Linked DNA regions of Xenopus tropicalis. The protein of the gene in region 1 interacts with the protein of each later gene in a pairwise test. Links are inferred from orthologs where the notes say so. Each region holds a gene or a part of one and is shown in the gene's direction. Other genes may lie near its edges.

What was found.
Region 2: the proteins of mlx (region 1) and mxd1 interact in a two-hybrid assay, tested with the Homo sapiens proteins (2 studies listed by BioGRID and IntAct). The link is inferred for Xenopus tropicalis from reciprocal best matches to the Homo sapiens genes MLX and MXD1.
Region 3: the proteins of mlx (region 1) and mxd4 interact in a two-hybrid assay, tested with the Homo sapiens proteins (2 studies listed by BioGRID). The link is inferred for Xenopus tropicalis from reciprocal best matches to the Homo sapiens genes MLX and MXD4.
Region 4: the proteins of mlx (region 1) and mnt interact in a two-hybrid assay, tested with the Homo sapiens proteins (2 studies listed by BioGRID and IntAct). The link is inferred for Xenopus tropicalis from reciprocal best matches to the Homo sapiens genes MLX and MNT.

The regions. Positions count from the first base shown.
Region 1 is NC_030686.2:6,141,034-6,144,310, reverse strand, and holds part of mlx (max-like protein X), read left to right. Parts: intron 1-1,202; coding exon 1,203-1,348; intron 1,349-2,267; coding exon 2,268-2,367; intron 2,368-3,277. UniProt on the Homo sapiens protein: Transcription regulator. Forms a sequence-specific DNA-binding protein complex with MAD1, MAD4, MNT, WBSCR14 and MLXIP which recognizes the core sequence 5'-CACGTG-3'. The TCFL4-MAD1, TCFL4-MAD4, TCFL4-WBSCR14 complexes are transcriptional repressors.
Region 2 is NC_030679.2:121,959,170-121,961,952, forward strand, and holds the end of mxd1 (max dimerization protein 1), read left to right. Parts: intron 1-70; coding exon 71-185; intron 186-385; coding exon 386-545; intron 546-1,285; coding exon 1,286-1,476; 3' UTR 1,477-2,224; downstream 2,225-2,783. UniProt on the Homo sapiens protein: Component of a transcriptional repressor complex together with MAX. In complex with MAX binds to the core DNA sequence 5'-CAC[GA]TG-3'. Antagonizes MYC transcriptional activity by competing with MYC for MAX binding.
Region 3 is NC_030677.2:21,432,345-21,435,797, reverse strand, and holds the end of mxd4 (max dimerization protein 4), read left to right. Parts: coding exon 1-85; intron 86-384; coding exon 385-544; intron 545-2,717; coding exon 2,718-2,860; 3' UTR 2,861-2,919; downstream 2,920-3,453. UniProt on the Homo sapiens protein: Transcriptional repressor. Binds with MAX to form a sequence-specific DNA-binding protein complex which recognizes the core sequence 5'-CAC[GA]TG-3'.
Region 4 is NC_030678.2:47,682,675-47,686,249, reverse strand, and holds part of mnt (max-binding protein MNT), read left to right. Parts: coding exon 1-261; intron 262-2,801; coding exon of another isoform or gene 2,802-2,843; intron 2,844-3,575. UniProt on the Homo sapiens protein: Binds DNA as a heterodimer with MAX and represses transcription. Binds to the canonical E box sequence 5'-CACGTG-3' and, with higher affinity, to 5'-CACGCG-3'.

The DNA.
Region 1 (3,277 bases):
CCAATAGGGCTGTTCTGCCCCCAATAAGGGGTAATTATATCTTAGTTGGGATCAAGTACAGGTACTGTTTTATTATTACAGAGAAAAGGGAATCATTTAACCATGAAATAAACCCAATAGGGCTGTTCTGCCCCCAATAAGGGGTAATTATATCTTAGTTGGGATCAAGTACAGGTACTGTTTTATTATTACAGAGAAAAGGGAATCATTTAACCATTAAATAAACCCAATAGGGCTGTTCTGCCCCAATAAGGGGTAATTATATCTTAGTTGGGATCAAGTACAGGTACTGTTTTATTATTACAGAGAAAAGGGAATCATTTAAACATGAAATAAACCCAATAGGGCTGTTCTGCCCCCAATAAGGGGAAATTATATCTTAGTTGGGATCAAGTACAGGTACTGTTTTATTATTACAGAGAAAAGGGAATCATTTAACCATGAAATAAACCCAATAGGGCTGTTCTGCCCCAATAAGGGGTAATTATATCTTAGTCGGGATCAAGTACAGGTACTGTTTTATTATTACAGAGAAAAGGGAATCATTTAACCATGAAATAAACCCAATAGGGCTGTTCTGCCCCCAATAAGGGGTAATTATATCTTAGTCGGGATCAAGTACAGGTACTGTTTTATTATTACAGAGAAAAGGGAATCATTTAACCATGAAATAAACCCAATAGGGCTGTTCTGCCCCAATAAGGGGTAATTATATCTTAGTTGGGATCAAGTACAGGTACTGTTTTATTATTACAGAGAAAAGGGAATCATTTAACCATGAAATAAACCCAATAGGGCTGTTCTGCCCCCAATAAGGGGTAATTATATCTTAATTGGGATCAAGTACAGGTACTGTTTTATTATTACAGAGAAAAGGGAATCATTTAACCATTAAATAAACCCAATAGGACTGTTCTACCCCCAATAAGGAGGAATTATATTTTAGGCTGGGGGTAAATTCCCTGTCAATCTGCTCTGCTCCAAATTTCGATACCACTCATGAGAAGGAAATTATGTTTGAACGCAAACTGTGAAATAGCAATTGCAGCAATTTCTGGGCAGAAATCAATAACTTCTTAGCTGATAACTATTAGTTTAATTTGGCACTGTGCAGCACTCTCTCTTTATATGGTAAAGGACAGATGGTTGGTTTGGCTTATCATGGTGTTAAATAGCATCTATGTGCCTCACCGTTTCTGTAGCCTGCAACATGATGGACAATGCTTGTTCCCTAACCTCAGATGACGAGGACAGTGATGACCGCCAAGAGACCATAAAAAATGACTACAAGGACCGACGCAGACGGGCACACACCCAGGCTGAGCAGAAGAGAAGAGATGCCATCAAAGTAAGAATTGAAGGCTACATATTGGGGAAATAATCTGAAGACTGAGGGCTGTCTGCAAAGAATTCACTGTAGATATAACATAATGGTGGCCGGGGGGGCAGCCCCCATATCTACAGTGACTATGGGGCTTGGTGTGACCCCTTGTATCTGCAATGTATTTGCTGTAAACAGCCCATAGTGTAGTGGGCTTGATTATTAGATACTGTATCTATAAGGGTAAGGTTATATTGCAACGGCATCATACATAGGGTCCTGCTTGACCAGGATGGGGTGGGGGTATCAGAGACCGTTAAGAATAAAAGCTTTAGGGGTCATCATAAATTATCAATCAGAAAATAAGGTTGGCCTGTCATATAAGCTGATGCTACAGGGCCAATTAATCTGCTGCTAATTGCACTGGTTTCAGAGCTGCCATATAGCAATGATCTGTATTAATTACTAGTCAGCCTTATATTGTGACATTTATATTGTATATATACTGTATATTGTGAGTGGGTCCCTAAACTCAGGTAAGTGACAGCAGCACATAGTATGTGCTGGGAATCAGCAGAAATGAAGATGGGGGGCTACTGGGGCATCTTGGGGGGCACAGATCTTCCCTGCTAAAGGGCTGTGGGTGCCTTGGGCTGGTACAGAAACCCAAAATATCATGTACATTTACATACACCTAGTATGAATAGGTCCTTTTTTTTTCCTATATGGATTTATAATAGAATAGCATAGAGAGGTGTCGGCACTCATAGGATTTCCACGATCATATTGAAGAGAATACTCATGGGTAAATGCAAACGGTGAGGTTTATTTAGTCCTACGTTTCGGTTCCCTACTGGAACCTTCGTCAGGGAAGATTTATAATAGAATGTAAAGGGCTCTTCCTGGGTTTCTCACCACAATAATGGCTTCTGCCTGTATCTTGCAGAAAGGCTACGACGACTTGCAGTGCATCGTGCCCACCTGTCAGCAGCAAGACATCGCTATAGGAACACAAAAACTCAGCAAGGCTGTTGTTCTGCAGAAGAGTAAGTATTCTGCCCCCACAGTACCCCCCCCACACACATCAATGACAATTGCAACTGCCTTGTATTGATAGCTGTATGGTTATGCGCCATGTAAGGGCCACTTCTGGGTATGGTGTGGGGAGCAGTTATCAGCTGAAATGCTGCTTCGTTGGGATATAGCTGCATTTAGGGTAAATGGATATTATGATTAGCCAAACTAGCAATCTGCAAGCATTTCCAGGGACAGTACCTTCCTGTTCAACATGAGTGTAACAAATAGGACATAAGCCAGATATACTCTCTGCCTGTTGTTTTTATCACAAAAAAATTTATTGTTTTTGTTTCTTGAACTAAACAGGACAAATAGATATGGTTCTTATGAAGTAGAAGGTTAGATTACCAGTGCATAGCCACAGCAGTCCAACAAAGAGTGAAGGGGGTGGGTTGTTTATACAGAGCTTATTATCTTTAAACAAAAGGTGGCTATACATGGTACTGGAACCTCGCTAAACAAGTGGTCTTTCCCCTGATATGCCGACCTTGGGTGGGGGATATCGTGCTAATGCGATTTATTTGGCATAACTGAGCCAACAAGGTCCTTGATCCGACAGAAAAATCAAACCTGCCTGAACTACATCTGACCAATTTTAGGCCAAATATCGGTTGGGGAGGCCTGTCGGAGGTCCCCATACACGGCAGATAAGCTAAAGAACCCAAAAGGTGTATGGCCACCTTTATTCAGCTAATTAATGGTAAAGTGGGAAAGTTTAAAAGCCGGATAAGGCTCTGTTATTGAGTGAAGGGGATGGGTTGTTTATACAGACCTCATCTCTGGTTACGCTAACTCTGCTAATTGATGGTTACATTTTAAAGTTTGAAAGCCAAATAAGGCTCCGTTATTTTCAGCATGCGTTTACTTTTTTTTCTTGCT
Region 2 (2,783 bases), on another chromosome or scaffold:
AACTGAAAAGCATATTGTGCCATGATTGTTTTTCTAATGTGGATGTAATTATTCTTTTTTTCCTGTTTAGACGAGCCCATTTAAGATTATGTCTGGAAAAGCTAAAGATATTGGTTCCTCTTGGACCTGAATCCAATAGGCATACCACATTAAGTCTATTAACAAGAGCAAAGTCGCACATTAAGGTAAGCTAAAGTTATATTATTTTTTTAACGTGTGTGTGTCTATATATATATATATATATATATATATATATATATATATATATATATATATATATATATATATATACATATATATATATATATATATATATATATATATACATATATACATATACATACACCAAATACTTATTATTTCTTTTGTTCTTTCTCTTTTAAAGAAACTTGAAGATTGTGACAAAAGGTCTCTGCACCAAATTGAACAATTGCAACGAGAACAGCGACATCTAAAAAGGCAGCTAGAAAAATTTGGGGTGGAAAGGACGCGCATGGACAGTATAGGGTCAGCTATGTCTTCAGAACGATCAGACTCGGACAGAGGTAACTTATACCCCATCCCCCTTTCAGTTTATTGTTTTATATCAACAGCAACAACAAAAAAATAGATTTTCTTAATAAACTGTTCATAATCTCTTTGCATTATTTTCAAAAATCTTGATTCATTCAGTTAACTCGTGCTTGGCCTAACTGTACAGTTTAACACAGTGGTTTCCAGTAGATGGTCCCTTTGTGCTGCGCTGCGGCTCAAATAATTGGAGACACACCATTAACCCTTTATCTGCTACCTGCAAATATATTATTGTGTGCATGCATTGCATGTTTGCATGCATTTCCCATGTGTTTCATTAAAGGGGTGGTTCAACTTTGTTACCTTTTAACTATTCATAATAACCTTTGTAATGGCTCTTCATTAATTATTTTTTTTCTTTTTTTTTTTAATTATTTGCATTTCTCCTCTGCATCTTTCCATTTTTTAAATGGGGGGTGTGGGGGGGGGGTCTACACACTCCTATTCATATTCTAGTCTCTCATTCAAACCATTGCCTAGCTTCTAGGGTTAAAACCTCAGTAACCATATAGCTACTGAAATACCAAACTGGAGAGCTGCTGAAAAAAAACACTGAATAACTAAAAAATCATAAAAAATCAATTGCAAATTGTCTCAGAATATTACTGGATACATCATACTTAAAGTTAATTTTTGTATTTGTCAGTACAACTGAAAGCTGTATTTCTTTGCTTTGGGTTTATTGCTGACTCCTGGTACTTTATTTCCACAGAGGAAATTGATGTGGACGTAGAAAGCACGGACTATTTAACTGCAGATCTGGATTGGAGCAGCAGTAGCAGTAGTGTGAGTGACTTGGATGAGAGGGGGAGTATGCAAAGCATCTGCAGTGATGAAGGATATTCCAGCTCTGGTCTTAAGAGGATAGAACTACAGGACAATCCCAAAATTACAGCTCTTTAAACAGCCAATCAGAGAAGATAAAAAGGGGAGGGGGGAAGGATGGTTGCGAGAGATTTCTAGCAGTTCGTCACACTACTCCCAATTGCTCTCACATCAGACACTGTTATCTATTGGCTTTCACACCATTATCTTGCACGTGAACTTGTAAACTCAGACCTTCCAGCAGTCTGTTTCCCTCCCCCCTTTTCCGAAGGAGCTGTATGGGTTTCAGTTTACACTCAATATCACTTGCTAACCCATCAGCCAAATCTACTCGAGAAGACCACATTCCAGAATCACCAGGAAGCACTCAAGAGGAAAAAACTATCTATATTATTTACTGGAAATGGTTGTTGGCTGATAAACAAGATAACAATATTCATCCAGCTGGTACCTGGTCTATTGCCGGTACAATTGGCCCAGTTAAAAGGTCATAATATCTCCCAGCAACACCAAAACTTTTTTTTTTTTTTGCTTCACTTCACATCTGGAAAATGGTATGAAGGAATATGTCAAAAGAATCTTGCTATACGGCAAGACCTTTAGTTTACAGCTACTATAATATCCAATAAGAAGCCACCAAGGAAATCTGGATGGGACTTTGAGTCTTGATTCAGTGATTTTGGCTTAGAACAGTGAGAATGCTGCTATTATATTTTTTCACAGAATCGTGCATCTAATGCACCAAACCCAGCACAGTCTAAATTGCAACGCTGGCGCCTTCTAGCCTTTATTCGGAGATCTATAAAGCCACTTGCTATGTCTATTATATTGTGTTTTTTGTTATTGGTGTCAGTCTTGCTTACTTTTCATAATCGTTATCTGTTGCCACAGCCTCTCCTCTACAAGCTGATGTTTTTTTTTTTTTTTTTTAATGATTCCATGTTTTTATGTAAACCTGTTATCATTTTGTAACTGGAATCTTACCCTTTTCTGTTCACAAGAAGACTTCCAGGCATTTTTCATTTGCCTTTCTATAGCAAGGGAAGAGTAAATTAATGGAGCCTGAAAGGTTTTTCTATATGATATCAGTGCTCCTTCTTTTTTTTCAGTGTATTTGCAGTACCAGAATCTCTTGCTGTTTTTCCCCAAATGGCAGTCAAGTTTTAGTTTTTGTTTTTATCCCTAATCTAAAGAAATTCACCTTGAAAAGAGCATGCACTACAAAAAAACTGCAAGCAGGCCTTCATCGTCCTTAACTGAACATAACCCACCCAGAATGCTAACGGTTGGATTTTTACCAGGCAGTGTTTGGGACACGCACTTTAACATTTTCGTAGCTAGATCCAAACAGTACCATTCGATTCCCCCGTTTCACGGTATAACCT
Region 3 (3,453 bases), on another chromosome or scaffold:
GCTAAAGCAACTCGTGCCTCTTGGGCCAGATAGCAACAGACATACTACTCTAAGCCTTCTGAAAAGAGCCAAAATGCACATAAAGGTACTTTAGCTAGACACGCATTCAGCTAGAATGATGGGTAATTTAGCTTGGACATGTAACTGGGGAATTCATTTGAGTTTCCTCTAGGTTTAGTAACAACCAATCGGTAGTTAGCATCTATTGATCTACTAATTAAAAACAAACATATGATTGATTCCTATGGGTTACTAGACCTGGAGCTGTCAATCGGTTATTTCCCCCACTCCCCGTCTATCTGTTTGGTATTCATCTATGGCCAATATATGCTGCTGCTGCTGCTTATCATAGTCTGTCTTTTTTTTTGTTGGTAATTCTGGTAGAAACTAGAAGAACAGGACAGAAAAGCTCTCAATGTTAAAGAACAGCTTCAGAGAGAACATCGCTACCTCAAGCGCCGTTTAGAGCAGCTCTCCGTGCACGGGATGGAACGAATGCGCACTGACAGCATGGGCTCCATTATATCCACAGATTCGGAGCAAGGTAATGGAGAATAATTGGTCACCTTGCCTATTTTGGCTCTATATAATTCTAATTATGGCTGGGCTACACTGGGCTACACTCATTTAACAAGCGATTGCGCCCTGGGAATGATGCACTCTGCACCTGGAGCTGGACTGAAAATCCGGTACTAGGTACAGAATGCAGCGTCGGGGGGCACAGGGGAGCCCTGTCCTTACTGCCTGCCCTAGGGTCCCTACACGCCTGCACCCTACTGCTTATTGCAATACATTGATGATGAACTCAGTCATCATTGTAATCATAGGGGAAGCGGCGGTTCAAAATAGAGCACACAGATGTGCGGCTATGTAATAATCACGAAAGGCCTTCTGCTAAGTAACATGTTCGTTACCCTAGTAATACTTGTCACTGAGAAATACTAAGATGACAGTTTCTGTTGCTTAAAGGTCCCCATACACGGGGCGATTCTAGCTGCTGATATCGGTCCCTTAGACCGATTCGGCAGCTAATTGGGCCCTACCGACGGGCTTGCCCAACTGATACCTGTCCTGAAATCTGCCAGATATCGATCGGGCAGGTTAAAAAATCTAGTCGGATCGGGGACCGCATCGGCTTATTGATGCAGCTCCCGGACCGATTTTTCCTATACCCGCCATTATAATTTGATCGTTTGGCCCCAGGGATTCTCCCGATATCGCCCACCCGTAGGTGGTTCATGCGTACCACCATATGTAATACAGGACACAGGAGCAGTTATTCATAGACCCATCAACATGTGTGTTTTTAAACAAGTCACCAGAAAATTCTACCTGCTGATTGGTTGCTATGGGTTACTGCACTTGGGCAAACTTGGTTCCTTTTTTACATAACCCCGTTGGTGTTCTCAGGGCAGCAGCTGAGAAGCTAAGCTTAGGGGTCATAGGAAATTATTACAGAGTATGAGGTTGGCCTGTCATATAAAGTGATGCTATAGGGCTGATTATTAAATTCTGTTTACTGCACTGGTTTCTGGGCTGCCATGTAATGTAAATCCACATAAATTACTAATGTCACAATATTGTGACATTTATATTCTATATTTACAGTATACTGTAGTGTGACATTATATTCTATATATACAGTGTAGTGTGACATTTATATTCTATATATACAGTATATAGTGACATTTATATTCTATATATACAGTATATTGTGACATTTATATTTTATATATACAGTATATTGTGACCTTTATATTCTATATATACAGTATAGTGTGACATTTATATTCTATATATACAGTACAGTGTGACATTTATATTTTATATATACAGTATATAGTGAGTGAGTCTCTAAGCTCAGGTAAGTGACAGCAGCACAGAGTATGGGCAGAGAATCAGCAGAAAAGAAGATGGGGGGGGCTAATGGGGCATCTTTGGGGGCACAGACCTTCCCTGCTACACAGTATAGTGTGACATTTATATTCTATATATACAGTATAGTGTGACATTTATATTCTATATATACAGTATAGTGTGACATTTATATTCTATATATACAGTATAGTGTGCCATTTATACTCGGTATATATACAGTATATAGTGAGTGGGCCCCTAAGCTCAGGTAAGTTACAGCAGCACAGAGTATGGGCAGGGAATCAGCAGAAAAGAAGATGGGGGGCTACTGGGGCATCTATGGGGGCACAGACCTTCCCTGCTAAAGGCCTATGGTTGCCTTGGGCTGGTACAGAAGCCCAGAAGCCCTACTTCTTTAGTTGCGCTTTAGTTCCCTTTAATGATAGCTTGGTATATCATAATTTGCATGCAGCAAGTTAGCCAATCACAGTCAGGGTCGGACTTGGGTTGCAAGGCCCACCGGGCCTCCTGCATCATGGATCCTGCAGGGTCCCCAACCCGGCATCCTCGCTGAGCGCACATAACTTTAACGCATTAGGGGAGGAACGGTCACACAATGGGAGCGCTGGCAAGGGTCGGGTCGGGTTTGGGCCGCCGGGGCCCACTGGGATTTCTCCTGGTGTCCCGGTGGTCCAGTCCGACCCTGATCACAGTGAGCCTTTCTGAGGCCATGCCAGTCCCCATTCTCAGCGTACATTTCACATCATTATCTTAGTTATACACCTAATTAATATTTACAAATGTTACAACCGATGCATGCAAATGTTATGGCTGAACCTCTCCATTTCCTCTCTCCTCAGAGGTCGATATTGAAGGCATGGAGTTCACGCCAGGGGAAATAGACAGTATTGGCAGTGACGTTGATGACCACTACAGTTTGCAAAGCGGCTCCAGCAGTAGTGGATACACACATTCCCTGAGGCTCAATTCCAGACTTTCATAGTGGCCTGAACACTGGACCAATTCAGGACCACCAAGCTGAAGGCACTTATAAAGAGAAAACAAGGAAAAAAAACTTAAAAAAAAAAAGAATTTCAAAAAAGAAAGTTACTGATATGTCAACTGCCATTTGGCAAGGGCTGAACATGCTCAGTCCCGACAAGGAGCTTTTATGTGCTGAGGCCCCTTGCATTGTAACCACACCACTACAGATTGCAACAAGGCACTATGTTGCAGGGGAGAAAAAAAGTACATTGTGGAACGGCCAAGTTTTAGCATAGGGGCACTTGCCAAGGAGAGAAGGGGGGGGACCTTGGGTGGAATATATACTGGAGCTCTTTTACCACACTGGGCACTGTTGCCGAAGTGCAGTAAACCATAGCAACCAGATTAGATATTTGCATTCAGTGTTCAGCAGACTGATCCAAGCAAGTTATTTTGGTTGCTGTGAGTCCTACAGTGAGGTAATTTTTTCCCAGTCATAAAGTAAATGAGCCCCATTGTAAGATATTAACAGCACATGTATCAAGGATATCAGCCCCCAAAATGTTTGTTAGCCCCCAACTTCTCAGTGTTGCCTTGGAGCCCCCTCCCCTC
Region 4 (3,575 bases), on another chromosome or scaffold:
GCGGCCACCGGGCACAGTGCTCCCTGAAATCAAAACCACCCCTCTGAGCATGGGAAGCCCCAAGCCATTACACCATTACCAAGCTCCTGTACTGGCCATTGCACATCATCCCCTTATGCAACAGCAACAACAGCAGCCTATACAGCCTCAGCCTACAGCTCTACAGACTCCACAACCGCCTCATCCTCAACCCCTGGGTGCCCTCAGACTTCCAATAACAGATGATGGAAGGCCCAATGAGCAGCGGCGGAGGCCTGGAGGGTAAGGACTTCTTTGTGAGATACCGCAACACAATATCTGATCTCTTCAACCTACATAATATTTGACCTGATTATAGGAGCTCAGGGAGAAAAGAAAGCAGAGAGGGTATTTCTAGGGCCCCCAAACCTCATACTTCACGTTAGAGTTACCTAGCAGCAAGGGGACTTTATTTCCAGCACTGGTAGCAAGATATCGATAGTACATTGTGTAAGGTCGTTTGACAGGGACAAATTAACACTTGTGGCAGTGGGTAAGTGCAGCTATATTGCATTATATGTCATCAGAGAAATAGCATTTGTTAGCGCTGAATACATTTTTTCAGGGAACCAAATCTAAGTTCTGTGTAACTATAAAAAATATTAAGTAAATTCCAGAGAGTCCAGAGGTGTTCTGACTGTTCTGTCATAGAAATAAAACCATAAGTTGCTCATAAGTATATTTATATGTATCTCATGTTTTAACCAAAGAATATATACTTGACTCCATGTCCATCCATGTCGGTGAGCATTGTTTCCTCCAGTTTTTAAAGGGAGAAAATGCGAAATGTCTAGAACTTTCCTGGCTGCTAAATCCTATAATAATAAAGCCAAGCACTTCACTTCTAACTAGTGCCACACAGGGCGGATTCTCGGCCTGTCGATAAATGCAGGCCAAGAATCCACCCCTATGCTTAAAAAATCTGATAGTTGTGGCTGCATCTGGAGCCATTGTATTGGCCTGGGCGCAGCGACACTAAGCAAAGTTTGTTTCGAAACTTCACGAGCAAGCAGTTAAGTGCCAAATTCTGTTTAGCCAATACAATACAATGCCTCCAGGTGCAGCCACAACTATCAAGCATAGGGGTGGATTCTTGGCCTGCATTTAATCACAGGCCGAGAATCAACCCTGTGCGGCACTAGCCTTAGAAGTGAATCTCTGAGACTAAGATGCCCCAGTAACTCCCAGTCGTCTTTTCTGCTAAATCACTGCACATGCTCTTTGCTTCTTTCAGTTATCTTAGCTAGGGACCTTCTCACAATATATTTACTTTCTAAAATTCACATTCATCAGAATTGATTACTAATGAGCCCTTTAGCAACATTTCAACCTCATTTTGTACTAATGATATGATGATTTCCAGTGAAATTTTGCATTAGACAACTCTAAACAGGCCATTACTGTTATGGGGCTGCTGAACTTCTGAGCTACTGCAATAAGTTCAGTGCATAAAATATAGCATTTCTAACTATATTGTCAGTGTTTTTCGGCAGCAAATTTTTCCACCCAGATTAGGTGAAAGAGTAGCTGGTTGGGGGGAAAAAATATACCATACACTTTGAAGCCTTGCCCCAGCCTTGTCCTTGGTAATAGACATTTCCCAGAAGTGCACAATCCTATCTGCACCTGTGAAAGATTTCTGTTCCTTTGGGCAAGACTGGGTCTTGAGGGTGCATCAGAGCTCCCAGTTAAATTAGACTCGTAAGAACAAGGTTTTTAAGGCTTTAGCTCTACTTTAAGTTATCCAATAACAAAATATTACTTGTGTCCTATTTGTGTAGCCCTCAGGTTAAATGCCTTGGCAGGGTTGTTATCATTTATTTTCTTGTACTGACAACGCAAACTACCTTGGGGCAGTAAAAAGTGGAACTGAACATGATGTTATTTTAAATCAGTCTTTTCGGAAAACTCAGTGATGTAAACCTGGTTGATGTTGCAGTAGTTGTTCCTTGTATTTAGCCTATGACAGAAAAAAAGCCAAGTTTTGGTATTTTCGCTACAGCTTAATTGCAAACATGCCTTCAGTGTCGGACTGGGTCAGCAGGGCACCGGGAAAAAACCCGGTGGCCCCTTTGCTTCCAAATTAGCACTGCCTACAAAGGGAAAGGGTCTGGATGTATTGAGAATGGATAGGAAACCACCAGATTTGCTGAGGGTGCAACCCATTGCATGCACTGAAGACTTTTTGGGTGGGGGCCCTGTTAGCTTTTTTACAGAAAGGTAAACAAAATAGACAGTTTGCCAACTATACCGTGTTGATACAGGTATGGGATCTGTTATCTGGAAACCTATTATCCAGAAAGTCCAGAATTATGGGAAAACTGTCTCCTATAGACTCCGTTTTAAGCAAATAATTATGATTTTTAAAAATGATTTCCTTTTCCTTTGTGATAATTAAACCATGCCTTGTACTTGATGGTAGCTAAGCTGCATGAATCCATACCATCCTCTACTGTGAGAGACCAGCCAGCTGGACAGATCATAGATTTCTAATATTTTTCTTTGAAATTTTAATATTTATGAATGTCACATAAAACAAAGTAATATAGTTGCAACATATTTTATCTATATTTTCTTTTAACTCATATTTGTTGGTAAGGAAAAGGTTCCTTTTTTTATCAGGTGAAGTAGTTTAGATTATATAGAGAAGACTGCTTCTGGTCCTTATGGACATATATACAGCTCTGTTAGCATTATATAAATCATCAAATTCAGATTTCATAAAGTCCTAAATTTTTTTTGTTTTTTTTTTTGTTTTTTGTTTTTTTTCTTTTTGCGTGCAGGGCAGGCACCCGGGAAGTCCATAATAAACTGGAGAAGAACAGGTGTGTATTTAAGCCAGGCCCTGTTTTATTCAGCCTCTGGTTTAAGCTTCCTATTCGATTTCAGCATATCTTTCTGCCTACTTTTAAGTGACCTCTATCCACCAATTGCATGCAGAAATGCATGTAACATTGACCTAAGCTCTTCTTTTGCTGGAGTTTAAATCCATTAAATGCTGCAGGGCGCTTATAATTAATTGCTGTGCAGTGTTGCTGAACTCCATGTCTACTAATGGACTGGCCTCTTGTTTATTACAAAAACCCTGCTCTGCCAGTAGAACCTGGGATGCGTTTTCTACATTGAATAGGCTTGCCTATGACTCTCTTATGGCCACTCTGTAGCCATATAGCATTTATACAACATCTCCCAGAATGCCATGGGTGGCCGAAGGCTTCAATATGGTGCTGGGAGTTGTTCCTGCTGGTGGGTTGCAGGTTTGACTTTAGTAATATCCCAGTGGAATATCAATGTTTTTCTTCATTAGTGAGAAAAGCATTGGTATCTCACCACATCAGAGGTAGGTTACAAATGCTGTTGGGCTTTACTAGTAACATGGTATGAATTTGCGCAGTCAACTCATTCACTTCATAGCAACCAAAACATTATTTGTAGTAAATATTCTAAGGAGGTGGACCAGCTAAAAAATAAAGGATTAGTGCAAGGCTACAGCAAAGTGAAAGTCTATCCTCCCACACTGTTAGACATGTTGCTTGTGACCAGTGCCGTACATTAAA